2 linked regions of the Arabidopsis thaliana genome follow. The protein of the gene in region 2 interacts with the protein of the main gene of each other region in a biochemical or structural test. Each region holds a gene or a part of one and is shown on either strand. Other genes may lie near its edges.

Region 1 (6,888 bases), on a different chromosome or scaffold from region 2:
TATTTTTCTCTACAATCTACCTCACAACTTACACATCTCTCTCTCTCCTCTAGCTCTTGCAAATCTTGAATGGTCATTTCCTTCTTTTACTTGTACGTAGTACGTTTCTAGATTGATCTTCTTATATCTCTCTTTTTTTTTATTGTGAGGATTTTGAGGAGCAAGCCTTGATGATTCGACAAAGTGAAGGGTTTGGTCTTCAGAAAGTTTTCTTGCAAGGTTCAAGAACGGATCCTCAAAATTCAAACTGTTTCTCACCAATTTGAATTGTGAAGATCCGTTCTTGAACCTTGGAAGAAAACTTTCTGGAGACCAAACCCTTCACTTTGTCGAGTCACCAAGGCTTGCTCCACCTAAGGCTTAGAAGAAGAAATTACGAAAATTTTAAGCAAAACATAAAAATTAATTTAGAACAAAAATATGCCAAAAAGAATATTAGGTTGATTATAATGTGTAATTTAGTAACTTGTGTTCGTATCATTATTGTATTACCATTCAAAAGGTATAATGCATGATGTTAATAAAATAAAACATAATTTTGGTATTTAATAAAAATTTAATATATATATATATATAATGGTAATTTCCAAAATATAGTATCTATATAAAAATATAAAAATAATTAATAAAGTTTGATAAAGATGATTATTGCCTTAAGTGTATTAAAGAAGTGAGAAAAGAAAATTTAATGAGATAGGAAATAAAAAAGTGAGAAAAGAAGATTTTAAGTTATTGCCTTAAGTGTATTAAAGATTTCTTGTATATATTGCTAATTATAATTATCAAAAAAAAATTTCTTCTTTTCTTTTTAATACATACAATCGAATGTTTGATATTTAGTAATTGAAATAAATATGAAAACATAATAGAAAAGTAATTTGCCTTGACTTTCTATCGAGAAAGTTTGAAACGAATTTGAAGTCGTAAAGAGAATATGTGTTCAGCGAGATCTTTATTACCAAATTTTCGAGTTTTTCATAAATTACTGACAAGGAAAACGAATTTGATTTTACCGGAAAAGCTTTGAGATTAATGCCTTCCTTGGTTGTCTTTGACTCGTGGAAACACGTACAGTTTCGCTCTATAGTGGTAACATGGTCCGGTAGCTCGAAGCTGGTATCTTTGGGTACTTTGTTATTACCACTAAACCCTAATATTTTCAACATTATTTCGTTTGTCTTATGATTGTAACTTCGTTCTCTCTACCTGAATATATATATAGTGTTCCTTTTGTTGTTGTTTAACGTAAGCAAACTCATGTAGGATTAGAAGGTTTATAATTTCCAAATTCATTTGGGATTAGAGAAAGATAACATTATTAGAAAAAATGCCTCTTAGAAAAAAAGAAATATTTTTGTTATTTCAATTTTCAACAACAAGGAGCATTGAGAAATGGCCAATACATTCACGTTTTGCCATAATCAGTTACAAAGACGAGACTTACAGTCAGTCTGAACAAATGGAGTTTATCGGATAGCACCGGTCATATTAGCACCACCGAGGTTTGCTCCTTCCATATGCTGTTACATAAACATATCGCAAGGATTAACCATTTAAACTCTACTCAGAAACTTGTATAAGAGCCAACCAATTACTGGCCTATATCAATCAATCTGCGCATGTATGTTTTTCAATACCCAAGTATTGGTTTTGGACTTACCGCTTCTCGCAGATTCACATGCCTCAAGTAAGCTCGTTGAAGGTTTGCTCCTTTGAAGTTGGCATTACTCAACTTTGCACCCTATACATATAAGATCCAGTTAAAACCGTAACTAAACACTACTCATTTAAGACTACACTTATTAGCACAAATCAAATAAGGCTGAATATAAATTGTCAATAAAAGGAATTGCTTACCTTCAAATTTGCACCTTCTAGATTTGCTCCTTCTAAGTTGGCATTCGTAAGGTCTGCATTCTGTTAGGTAAGAAAGAGAATCAAACATTATCACCGAATCACGCTATGCTCATAAACACCTACTGGATACGTGGGATTGAAAGGTGGGGATTAAACCGGCAATTCATAACCATTAATTGTCATGGTGAAAAGTCTAAGCTAAAATTCTAATTCTACACAGACTAACTACTTAAGGCACCTGCAAGTGTGCAGTGCGGAGATCTGCACCACAGAAGCTGCAGCCCACTAAGCAGGCATCTACAGTACACAAGTAGGAACAAATTAGTAAGATTATGGTTATATGTATGTACAAATTTCATTTCATGACAGTCTAAAAGATCGTTAACAAGCAAGATAGGCTTATATGCACCTTGTAGATTTGCACTCTGAAGATTTGTACCAGCTAACAACGCTCCTCTAAGATTTGCGCTGGTAAACTCACACCTTTTATAGGAAAGAAAGAATTTAAATCTTTCAGGTGAGTGTTACCAAGTAAAAATTGTCCAATATACGATGAGAAACTAACAAATTCCTTACTCGCGCAAAATAGCATTGTGAAAGATGGAGCCTTCTGCATCAGCATTCTGTTTAAGCATTAAGTAATTCAGCAGATGTTCAAGCAAACTCCCCTGATGCGATGATATTATTCGTCTCGCAAAGCAGAAAAAAAGTTGATACAACATATTTACCCGAAATTTGGCACATTGAAGATTTGTACGAGAGAAAAACACATTCCTGAGACAAGCATAGCTGAAATCCACAAGGGATAGATCCTACATTATTCAAAGAGAACATTCAGACAGTAAATACGAAATGGTTTCTTCTAGACACTGACTAAGACGAAGAAGCTCTTCTTCCCGGATAGGTTTACTAATCCCTTAATGTTGACAAGAAATAAAGACACTCACTAAGACAGCAGATGTGTATTCCAGTTGAAAAAATCAAATTAAAATGTAACTGCAAGTTCTTTTTAAACTCCAGGTTAAAACAACAAGAATCAGTTAGTCCATACGTTCTATTAATTTTCCTTCATAGAAGTTAATCAAACCCACAAATGAAATCTGAAGGAACTGATTTGGGGATCAGAAATGTAGTGGTTTCAAATCAGCAGCATTGTAAACTACAAGAATATGAGGTTAAGAAATATTACCAGTTTAGAAAGATCGATTCCAGAAAGATTAACTCCTCGGAACCTGACTCTTTCGGTTTGTATACATTTGATGATATCTATACGCGTTAATTCAGCTTCTACTTCACCAACTTCTTTTCTCGAATCTTTTATTCCATCTTTCAGTCCCTGAAATAGGAAGAGAATGCAATGTATTACATCTCCAACACAAATTATTTCTGTACTCCACAGAAAGTAAAACTCCAGTTACTAGCTAAGAAATGAAAAACAAAAACGAGAATAGTAAGGTAAGAGAGAAACTTAGCGTACAAGAAGCTGATAGTAGTCTGCTTCCCGCAAAAGTTCAGAACAATCAGGATCTGACAGACTAGGAATAACGCCATCACGCAACCAATTTAAAATATGACGGAAGTGCTTCCCATCCCTATCTATGAATACATATCCCTGCAACAATAAAAATTAACTAGTTTAGTGGAAATACACATCCATGTATGCATACAGCGCAAGCCTTTCCTCGTTTGAACCTCGCCCTTAACTTAAAGTCTTTAAGGCTATTATGCCATCCTAAGGTGCTGCTAAATGGAAAAAGCATACTCATACATATAAATGTGAGTGTATACAGTATATTGTTATGTCTAACAGATTTTCTGGTACATGGCGTCAAAACTTTGAATCGATTCTTATATTTTGAAGCAAATCTTATAGTCGGTAGCTAAAATCACAGTCTCTGTTGTAAACTAAATTTTAAAATATCATTCAATGAAGGCTACTCAATCCAAGGACCAACTATTACACTCAGTGAAGCCTATAAATATGCAGGTTCTGAACTAGCACCATCCTGAAACAAAATATTGGGGTGCAAATCAAGTAATAAAGAATGCAACAATTACCTTTTTGGATTCCTGGCACATTGCATGTCGACCACTAAACATCGCTGCGAGCATTGAGTCTGGCTCACGAATAGTCAAAGTATCAATGGTCGTACAAAATTTCTTTCCACCTGCATGAAAACAACATTAGCTATCACAGTTAATTATGATCAGCCCAACAAAGATTGAAGTTTACAACTGAAACCAGAGAGGTCAACGAAACCTAAGCCTCAAAGTGAGAAACATTTGCTGAACTAGAGCATTCACCATCTCAATCACAGGATTCAGAAACATAACTAGGAAAAGATGACCAAGCACATCCTTTCTCACACGATTCTAGCTACCAGTTTTAGTTAATCAATAATTGGTTCAAAGTTAAACATTGTGGATAAAAAAGGATTGATTTTTCACAGGAATTTAAACGTTTAACTAAGTGATGAGTAATGGGATTGCAAGAAAATATATAAAAGGACGAAATTTACCAATGTTAAGACGAACCATGGAAGACAAGTTAGAGCTCGTCTCCATGAGAAAGATAGAAGAGAACTCAACACCAAGCTTTGACCTGTAAGAAGACTATCACTTGATGATGATCATGATGATGATGTAAACATAACTTAAGGCCTACACAGAACTAGAGTTGACAAAATCTCGAATCTTTGCGCTCTAATTCTATTGAAAATTTTGAATGTTTCATAGCAAAAATACTGCGATCCAGTAACTCAAATTCATAAGTTAAACGAGGATTACTCATATTTCGTAAACAAATTGAATGAAAAATGGTTTTGATTTACACAAGTAGAAAGTGTGATTTTTACCTGCGAATATTTCGTCTTTCTTCGTTCTTGCTGAGAATTTTGGTCGAAGAGACTAAGAAAAAATGATTCTTATTGCTTTTTCCGACCAAGGAAACTAAATGGGCTTAAATGGATTGGATAAAAGCCCAATTCACATATTAAAGCCCAATACAAAAGTTCACATACAGCTTAATAGATAGAAACAGTTTTGCCATGAGCTTTGGTTCGGCAGATAGGACAAGAAGGGTTCTTTTTCAGCCACGTCATTATACAGTCTCTGTGAAAAACATGGGAACATGGTAACTTCATGCGACTCACCCCACTAGATAACTCCGTTAAGCATATCGGACAATCCAACGCCGGGACCAGACAAGTACCCTTTTGTTTACAACAACAATCAATCCTCACCCATTGTTCCACGTCGACTTTAACGTCAACTTCTACCTTCAAACCTCCTCCTGTTCCGCAGCGGCGGTTTCTGAACTTGACGGATTCGGTTGAGATGTAACGGACAAGACGTTCTTGAATAGTTTGCGGGAGATACATCGCCGACAAGATGATCATGACGTGTTCAAGGCATGTTTCTTGAGAGACAAGAAACTGTTTTGGGATGTTGTCTTCGAGTTTAAATACACGATCGGGATGACGTTCAAGAGTGGTCTTAAGTTGGTGTCCATCGAGATTTTCATGACGAATCCGAAGATTTGGCTGGTAAGTTACGATGAAGGAATACGAATCTGATTCGACCTGAGAAGCTTTGAGATGAATGACTTCTTTTGTGGTCTTTTTCCGGAGAAAGCAACGATTAATGACTCGATCAGTTTCGTTCGTTGAGGTTGAGATGAGTTCATGCTTGTAGCTGTTCTTCATGGTTGGTGTGGTATGAACCAGAGGAACTAGACCAAAAACCTCTCTTAATTAGATCTTATGTTTTTTTTGAACTTCTTTTTCTCTCTCTATTGTTGTGCAAAGATATAAGGGTGAATTGAAAGAATAGCCATTTGATAATGAAATTATCTAAAAAAGGTTTAAGTCATGTAGGATTAGGAGTTTCATATTTTCAAGAAATTTATATATGGGTGACTACTTGGTTTACTACTCACTGACAGCAATGTATGATTTTTTACTATATTAAGTGCAATATATTTGTTGGTTGCCACCTTATCAATTTAATAAATTATTCATTTGATTTGGTCTTTATTTCTGCAACTTCACTTTGATTCTTTCTATAGATTACAGTATCTTTTTTTTCTTTTGGTTAAAAACACTATTTCAATGCTTTTGTATTTATTATTTTGTAAAATTTTGTACACCTGTTAATCCATGTAAGGATTTATAACTTGCTATAAACTGATATTTATAGATTTACATAAATGGTAGTATTTAGGTAAAATCATGTAAACATCTATTTTTTTCCGCAAAATAAGTTATTTATACATCTACAGGATGTGCCGGTCCAACAAAAATGATGGTCCGAGTCAAGATTTTTTTTGTAGCGCTCTTTCTATCCCTTATTCAAAATTAGTTTAAAATCATGCAAAATTTGTGTTAAAAAATTTATTAAACAAAAATTTTAAGATACACCTATATATTAACATTAAAAAGTAAAATAATAATTTGGTAGCCTTAAAAAACATAAAATAAATTGGTATTTCTAAACGGCTGCCTAACCCGCTTGTTCTTTGTAGGAGTATGGTGCCTACAACAACAGTTGGCGGCATAAAAAAAAATATTTTGTAATATTTTGAGAAGAAAGTTAAAACACCATAAACTGCTGCAACATTTTGATAAAGTTGAATCCAAAACTGACTAATTTAAGCATCATTATTGGTTTGAGAATCACAAGGAGGATCAAAGGGACTAAAAGCTCTATAAGCAGAAATGACAGAGAGAAATAAGAAAAAGAAAAGAACAAAGACATGAAGTCCCAAAGCAATTGTGAGTTTTGAACAATAATGTGGATAAGAAGAACACATTTCACTCCATGTCACTATTTTGTCTCCTTTGTTAAGTAGATACACTATCTCTGTTGCTCCTGCTACTGATGTTGTCATCACATAAGCTAAAACCTTCATACACCCAAAAAAATATAAAAACATTATTAACTAACATAAGAAATTGCATACTAGATATTTGATAAATGATTGAGAAGATAATTTTAAAAAACCTGGTCAGGAATAAAGAAGAGCCAAGCTTT
Region 2 (7,021 bases):
ATTCGAAATATCAATTTTACTATAATATGAATATTTATATACCTATTATTCAACTATTTCACTATCATGAAAACATACAACATCATTTTATGATATATTAATATGTAATTATATTACTTATGTATTTTGAAACTTGTTTAACTTAATTTTAACAAACAATTCTTTATTCCATATATTCTTTCGTCATCTAGTACACCAACCACATCATGATATGCTAGCAATTTAAGTCAACACTTTAATTCTGTTCCTTTGCATATAGCCGTTCCTTTGCATATAGCCATATAGATTCTCATATTTCTGTGTGGATATGTCTAATGCCTCGGATGACCATTACGTGAAAACATTGTATATCAATGTTATCAAGTTATCAGACCGCACAAAAATAAACATAAAGAAGGTCATATGATAAATAAGATTCACATAAAACGTAATAATAAGAAAATATCCAACTAAAATTACTAAATTAATATGAGGTTAGATAGCAAACATCTAAACTACAACACACGTAAATGTTAGCCATTATGGATTAATAACTATTGATAAATTTTTTTTAAAAAATAAGTAAAATAGAATGAAAGTAGTACTTGATACATTATTATGATTTTTTATTTATTGAATGTTTTTAGAAAATTCACTTTAAGAGTGAGATTAATAGAAAATGTAACACAACAAAAAACTTTTAATTTTTCCTCAATTAATTTTACTAATTTGTTTATTTAATTAATGTAGAATGACACATGTCATTTTCTTGTATGATCACTCATATGAAGAGAGTTGACCAACTTTCATATATATGATTCATCACTCTTACAATTTCAACTAAATATTTAGGGCATTTTCATCCACGAGAAATCCATAAAGTTTCTCAAACAAAAAAATATTAATATTATATTATAATTTGATTATTTGATTAAAAAAATATTTTTGTTAAAAAATTAAACCAATAGTAAAAAGAAAATTGTCATGATGGATCGTAAAAAGTATCTCAAAGTTTCTGAAGCGAGAAACTTTCTACAATCTCTCTTTTACTTTTATTATTTTTATTTTTTTAACTATGAAAAATTCTTATGAGATACTACCAATGGAGATAGTTTTAGAGGTTCTTCTATAACCATCCGCTATGGTGTAAAATAAAAACTCATCCACAAACGTAAAACAACTACTCATCCATCCGCAATGATTTTCTTTTTTTTGAAACACTATATAAATTTTAAAAATAAAACGATGAGACTACTTATAAGGTATTTTTGCATATAAAAGTATAAAGTTCAATTTTGTGTGTCGGTGGTTTCCTGATACTCTTGTACTCTTACATTTTCAGTAGCTTTCCCACGTGACCAATTATTTTACTCCCTTTCTTAGTCCAATTATGGTTTTCTAGCACCTCTTTTTATTTGAACTTTTATATGAACTATTAATAGTTCACTTTATAGTTTTTCTTAACATTCACAGGCCCACAAATTTTACAAGAATCAGACATTATTTGCTTTAAATTTGATAAATTTTGCAGTCCTAGTCCTGGTAAATTCAGTATTTCTGTCATATTCAATACCATCAATTTCTAGTGCCATTTTTATGATTGCAAAATCCAACAAAAACAAACAAAACCATGTTGTGGTCTAATGTTTGTTGCCCCAAAACAGAAAGAGGATTCACACAGTCGACATTTGCATAAGACGCAGGAAGTATAACTGGCTTATTAAGAAGATTTAAGGGACGCATTTAGAGATATGGTTATTGCATGAACCATGATGTAGCCATTTAAAAGTTTATGGTTAACTTAACTATTTGCAACGATCGATATTTTATCAAACGATGCTACTGTATAAGTTTCTCATCATATGTCCTAATTCCTCCTTATTATCTACACCAGTTAGACCTGTCCTCCAATTTTACGCTTTGTACATACAGCATTCGGCGAAAGCACATGAACCGACCATTTACACATCCTGAGACAGTGTCGGTCAAAATAAAGTAAAGAACTCAGCACAATACACCCACTACCACTTCCTCCTCCTCAAACATTAACACACCATTATTTTATGTTTTCTTTATTACAGACGTCGTCAAACCGCCGTAATAACTTTTTAATAAAATAAAAATCCACTCGCATTTTTATTTTCAACATTGTGCGTACGGTGCAATTCAATGAACAGTGTTTACTTTCAGTGTGTACACTTCTGCGGACTATTACAAAGTCCACGTCTTATCCTACGTGTTATAATCTCATATGTTACTGTCTGAAATGGACCCCACTACGTAAAAATAAAATTAAGAATCAACCACTCTTCTTCCATCACCTCTTTTGGCTTTCTCTCTACTCTCTCTACTACTCTCTCACCATCACTGAGTTAAGAGAACAAACCAAAAACAAAATTATCAAACCATCACCAGCAGAATCTTAGCTGGATTCATCACTCTATTCAAAAAGTTTCTCTCTTCTCTTTTCTCAGATCTTGAACTCTTGAAGAAGAAAGAAGAAGATAACACAATGCTCTTCTTCTTATTCTTCTTCTACTTACTCTTATCTTCATCCTCCGATCTAGTCTTCGCCGACCGTCGTGTACTCCACGAACCATTCTTCCCTATAGATTCACCACCACCGTCACCACCATCACCACCACCACTTCCTAAACTACCATTCTCTTCAACCACTCCTCCATCTTCATCAGACCCAAATGCTTCTCCTTTCTTCCCTTTATACCCTTCATCTCCACCACCACCTTCTCCAGCCTCCTTCGCTTCTTTTCCGGCGAATATCTCATCTCTAATCGTCCCTCACGCCACTAAATCCCCACCTAACTCCAAAAAACTCCTTATCGTCGCTATCTCCGCCGTTTCCTCCGCTGCTTTAGTCGCTCTACTTATCGCTTTACTCTATTGGCGAAGAAGCAAACGTAACCAAGATCTTAACTTCTCCGATGATAGCAAAACATACACCACCGACAGTAGCCGCCGTGTCTACCCTCCTCCTCCGGCAACGGCGCCTCCAACACGACGCAATGCGGAGGCTAGAAGTAAACAGAGGACCACCACGAGCTCCACCAATAACAACAGCTCTGAGTTTCTTTACTTAGGAACAATGGTGAATCAAAGAGGAATCGATGAACAATCTCTTAGTAATAATGGATCAAGCTCAAGAAAACTTGAATCTCCAGATCTTCAACCACTTCCTCCATTGATGAAACGAAGTTTCCGTTTAAATCCAGATGTTGGTTCAATCGGAGAAGAAGATGAAGAAGATGAGTTTTACTCTCCACGTGGCTCACAAAGCGGGCGAGAACCGTTAAACCGGGTCGGACTTCCGGGTCAAAATCCTAGATCTGTTAACAATGACACTATCTCTTGCTCATCTTCAAGCTCTGGTTCACCAGGAAGATCAACATTTATCAGTATCTCTCCTTCAATGAGTCCTAAGAGATCTGAACCAAAACCGCCGGTTATCTCCACACCAGAACCGGCGGAGTTAACCGATTATAGATTTGTTCGGTCTCCGTCACTGTCGTTAGCTTCTTTATCGTCGGGATTGAAAAACTCCGATGAAGTAGGATTGAATCAAATCTTTAGATCTCCGACGGTTACATCTCTAACAACTTCACCGGAGAATAACAAAAAAGAGAACTCTCCATTATCATCTACTTCAACTTCACCGGAACGACGACCAAATGATACACCAGAAGCTTACTTGAGATCTCCGTCGCATTCTTCTGCTTCTACATCACCGTATAGATGTTTTCAGAAATCTCCGGAGGTCTTACCGGCGTTTATGAGTAATCTCCGGCAAGGTTTGCAATCTCAGTTACTATCTTCTCCTTCTAACTCTCATGGAGGACAAGGTTTCCTTAAGCAGTTAGATGCATTACGTTCTCGTTCACCGTCGTCGTCTTCTTCTTCTGTTTGTTCTTCACCGGAGAAAGCTTCTCATAAGTCACCAGTTACATCTCCTAAGTTATCTTCCCGGAATTCGCAGTCTCTATCATCTTCTCCGGATAGAGATTTTAGTCATAGCTTAGATGTATCACCACGGATATCGAACATTTCACCTCAAATTTTACAGTCTCGTGTGCCTCCGCCTCCTCCTCCTCCCCCACCGTTGCCGTTGTGGGGACGACGGAGTCAGGTGACTACTAAAGCGGACACAATCTCGAGACCGCCTTCTCTTACACCGCCTTCACATCCTTTTGTGATCCCATCTGAAAACTTACCAGTGACTTCGTCTCCTATGGAGACTCCAGAGACGGTTTGTGCGAGTGAGGCGGCGGAGGAAACTCCGAAACCGAAGCTAAAGGCGTTACATTGGGATAAAGTTAGAGCAAGTTCGGATCGTGAGATGGTTTGGGATCATCTTCGATCAAGCTCTTTCAAGTGAGTTAATGTGACATACTCGTTTATATGATACTATATGCTTTTAGTGAGAATGTGGTTGTTGAGATTATGAATGTGGTTTGCAGATTAGATGAGGAGATGATTGAGACGTTGTTTGTGGCGAAGTCGTTAAACAACAAACCAAATCAGAGTCAGACAACTCCAAGATGTGTTCTCCCGAGCCCGAACCAAGAGAACAGAGTCCTGGACCCGAAGAAGGCTCAGAATATTGCCATCTTGCTTCGTGCACTTAATGTCACTATAGAAGAAGTTTGTGAGGCTCTTCTTGAAGGTAAACTATGCTGTCACATACATAGTTTCTCATTTTCTTCTCCTTTGATCTCCAGAATTAGAGTTCTTATGCATTTGTTAATGGTTTTTCGATGATATGGTTGAGTTATTCTGAAAGCTTTGCTTCTTTGATGGTGTGGAGATTCTTGGTTACATTGATGTTCTTAGTTATGCTTTTTCAGGCAATGCTGATACACTGGGGACTGAACTTCTTGAGAGCTTACTGAAGATGGCACCGACAAAAGAAGAAGAGCGCAAGTTGAAAGCGTACAATGATGATTCGCCTGTTAAGCTTGGACATGCTGAGAAATTCCTTAAGGCAATGTTGGACATCCCTTTCGCCTTTAAAAGAGTTGATGCAATGCTCTATGTAGCCAACTTTGAGTCCGAGGTTGAATACTTGAAGAAATCTTTTGAGACTCTTGAGGTATATATTACAAGCTATTCTCTCTCTTTTTACCATATGGTTGTATTGTAACAGATTATGACTTCATTTCTATTGTTTGTGTAGGCTGCTTGTGAAGAACTGAGGAACAGTAGGATGTTCTTAAAGCTTCTTGAAGCGGTTCTAAAGACAGGAAACCGTATGAACGTTGGAACAAACCGAGGAGATGCACATGCGTTCAAGCTTGATACACTTCTCAAGCTAGTCGATGTCAAAGGCGCTGATGGGAAAACAACTCTCTTGCATTTCGTTGTACAAGAGATAATCCGAGCAGAAGGCACACGTCTCTCAGGTAACAATACACAAACAGATGACATTAAATGCCGGAAACTAGGTCTCCAAGTTGTATCAAGTCTCTGTTCTGAGCTTAGTAACGTCAAGAAAGCTGCTGCGATGGACTCAGAAGTACTAAGCAGCTACGTCTCCAAGCTTTCTCAAGGCATTGCCAAGATCAACGAAGCAATCCAAGTCCAATCAACAATCACAGAAGAAAGCAACAGTCAGAGGTTTTCGGAATCGATGAAAACGTTTCTGAAAAGAGCTGAGGAAGAGATCATCAGAGTACAAGCTCAAGAGAGCGTAGCGTTATCACTTGTAAAAGAAATCACAGAGTATTTCCATGGAAACTCGGCTAAAGAAGAAGCGCATCCGTTTAGAATATTCTTGGTGGTTAGAGACTTCCTTGGAGTAGTAGACAGAGTTTGCAAAGAAGTAGGGATGATAAACGAAAGAACAATGGTTAGTTCTGCTCATAAGTTTCCTGTTCCAGTGAATCCAATGATGCCACAACCTCTTCCTGGACTCGTTGGACGAAGACAATCTTCTTCTTCTTCGTCGTCGTCTTCAACCTCTTCGTCTGATGAAGACGAACATAACTCAATCTCATTAGTTTCTTAAGGTGAGATCTCAGCTTTGTCTGTGCATGTTGTTGTAAAAAGTATCCAGTATTGGATTGTTTTGTCATAATAGATTTAAATATATATATATAGAGGGAGGGAATTAATGACAGAAACAAAGAAGTGTTTTTCTTTTCTGCATTTGTGTAAAAAAAATAATATAGGTTTACCTTAAAATTTGTTCATCTTAAATTAATAATTTAAGAATCAAATAAATTTGTTTATCTGAACCGTGTGTACCACGAAAGAATGTGAGAGCAAACATATTACTTACTTACCCTTCGTTGCTGAATATAATGATCATTATAAATCACTACCTCCAGTACCTTCTACCTTCTTCAAAGAACCTTGTTGGATTTGAACCAAAGTTGGAACATAATTGACGAGAGGTGAGCATCTAGATTCTGCATCGTGATGATGATCCACTTTTATCTATTTATTTTCTCTCAAAATGTTTAAGAAAGTGTTGGAGACCTCATTTTACCAGGTAACACTAAAACTTTATTCTCGGGGTCTGACGAAGAATAACAAGTTTACTAACGCTCAAAAATTACATTGCAAAAAGAATATTAAATACAAGAATTACAACAAGAACAAGGGTATTCAAATTACAAATTCTATAGCAAAAAAAAATAAATCTTAAAAAATGTAATAACTGATAACAAACAATTTTACAAGTTCACTAACGCTCGAAATACATTGCAAAAAGAATATTAAACAAGAATTGAGTTAAAATTGTAGAAATTGTTGTGAAAAAATCAATATTGAAATTGTGTTGGAGAGGAAGCAAACTCTATGTGATCGTCAAGTTGTGGAGTTTATGTAATCGTGATTCGTGATCGTGAAGTTGTGGAGTTTATGTAATCGTGATTCGTGACCGTGAAGTTGTGGAGTTTATGTAATCGTGATTCGTGATCGTGAAGTTGTGGAGTTTAAGTGATCATGATTCGTGACCGTGAAGTTGTGAAGTTTGTTTTTGCAATTTTGTGTGCATGGATTTTTTTTTTGGATGTATATGTATTCG

What was found.
Region 1: the proteins of AFH1 (region 2) and FIP2 form a complex in vitro, tested with the Arabidopsis thaliana proteins (one study listed by BioGRID).

The regions. Positions count from the first base shown.
Region 1 is NC_003076.8:22,316,178-22,323,065, reverse strand, and holds FIP2 (potassium channel tetramerization domain-containing protein / pentapeptide repeat-containing protein), read right to left. Parts: upstream 4,762-6,888; 5' UTR 4,713-4,761; intron 4,460-4,712; 5' UTR 4,423-4,459; coding exon 4,377-4,422; intron 4,026-4,376; coding exon 3,916-4,025; intron 3,470-3,915; coding exon 3,335-3,469; intron 3,194-3,334; coding exon 3,047-3,193; intron 2,670-3,046; coding exon 2,586-2,669; intron 2,481-2,585; coding exon 2,434-2,480; intron 2,341-2,433; coding exon 2,267-2,340; intron 2,155-2,266; coding exon 2,096-2,154; intron 1,918-2,095; coding exon 1,858-1,917; intron 1,742-1,857; coding exon 1,661-1,741; coding exon of another isoform or gene 1,631-1,660; exon of another isoform or gene 1,521-1,630; coding exon 1,467-1,520; 3' UTR 1,261-1,466; downstream 1-1,260. Other genes in the region: AT5G55010 (uncharacterized protein), read right to left, coding at 837-1,166; AT5G54990 (RING/U-box superfamily protein), read right to left, coding at 4,881-5,561; AT5G54980 (Uncharacterized protein family (UPF0497)), read right to left, coding at 6,506-6,760, 6,859-6,888. UniProt on the Arabidopsis thaliana protein: May act as a substrate-specific adapter of an E3 ubiquitin-protein ligase complex (CUL3-RBX1-BTB) which mediates the ubiquitination and subsequent proteasomal degradation of target proteins.
Region 2 is NC_003074.8:9,250,297-9,257,317, reverse strand, and holds AFH1 (formin homology 1), read left to right. Parts: upstream 1-2,234; 5' UTR 2,235-2,491; coding exon 2,492-4,365; intron 4,366-4,451; coding exon 4,452-4,657; intron 4,658-4,838; coding exon 4,839-5,083; intron 5,084-5,167; coding exon 5,168-5,998; 3' UTR 5,999-6,225; downstream 6,226-7,021. UniProt on the Arabidopsis thaliana protein: Might be involved in the organization and polarity of the actin cytoskeleton. Involved in polar pollen cell growth process by maintaining tip-focused cell membrane expansion for the polar extension of pollen tubes.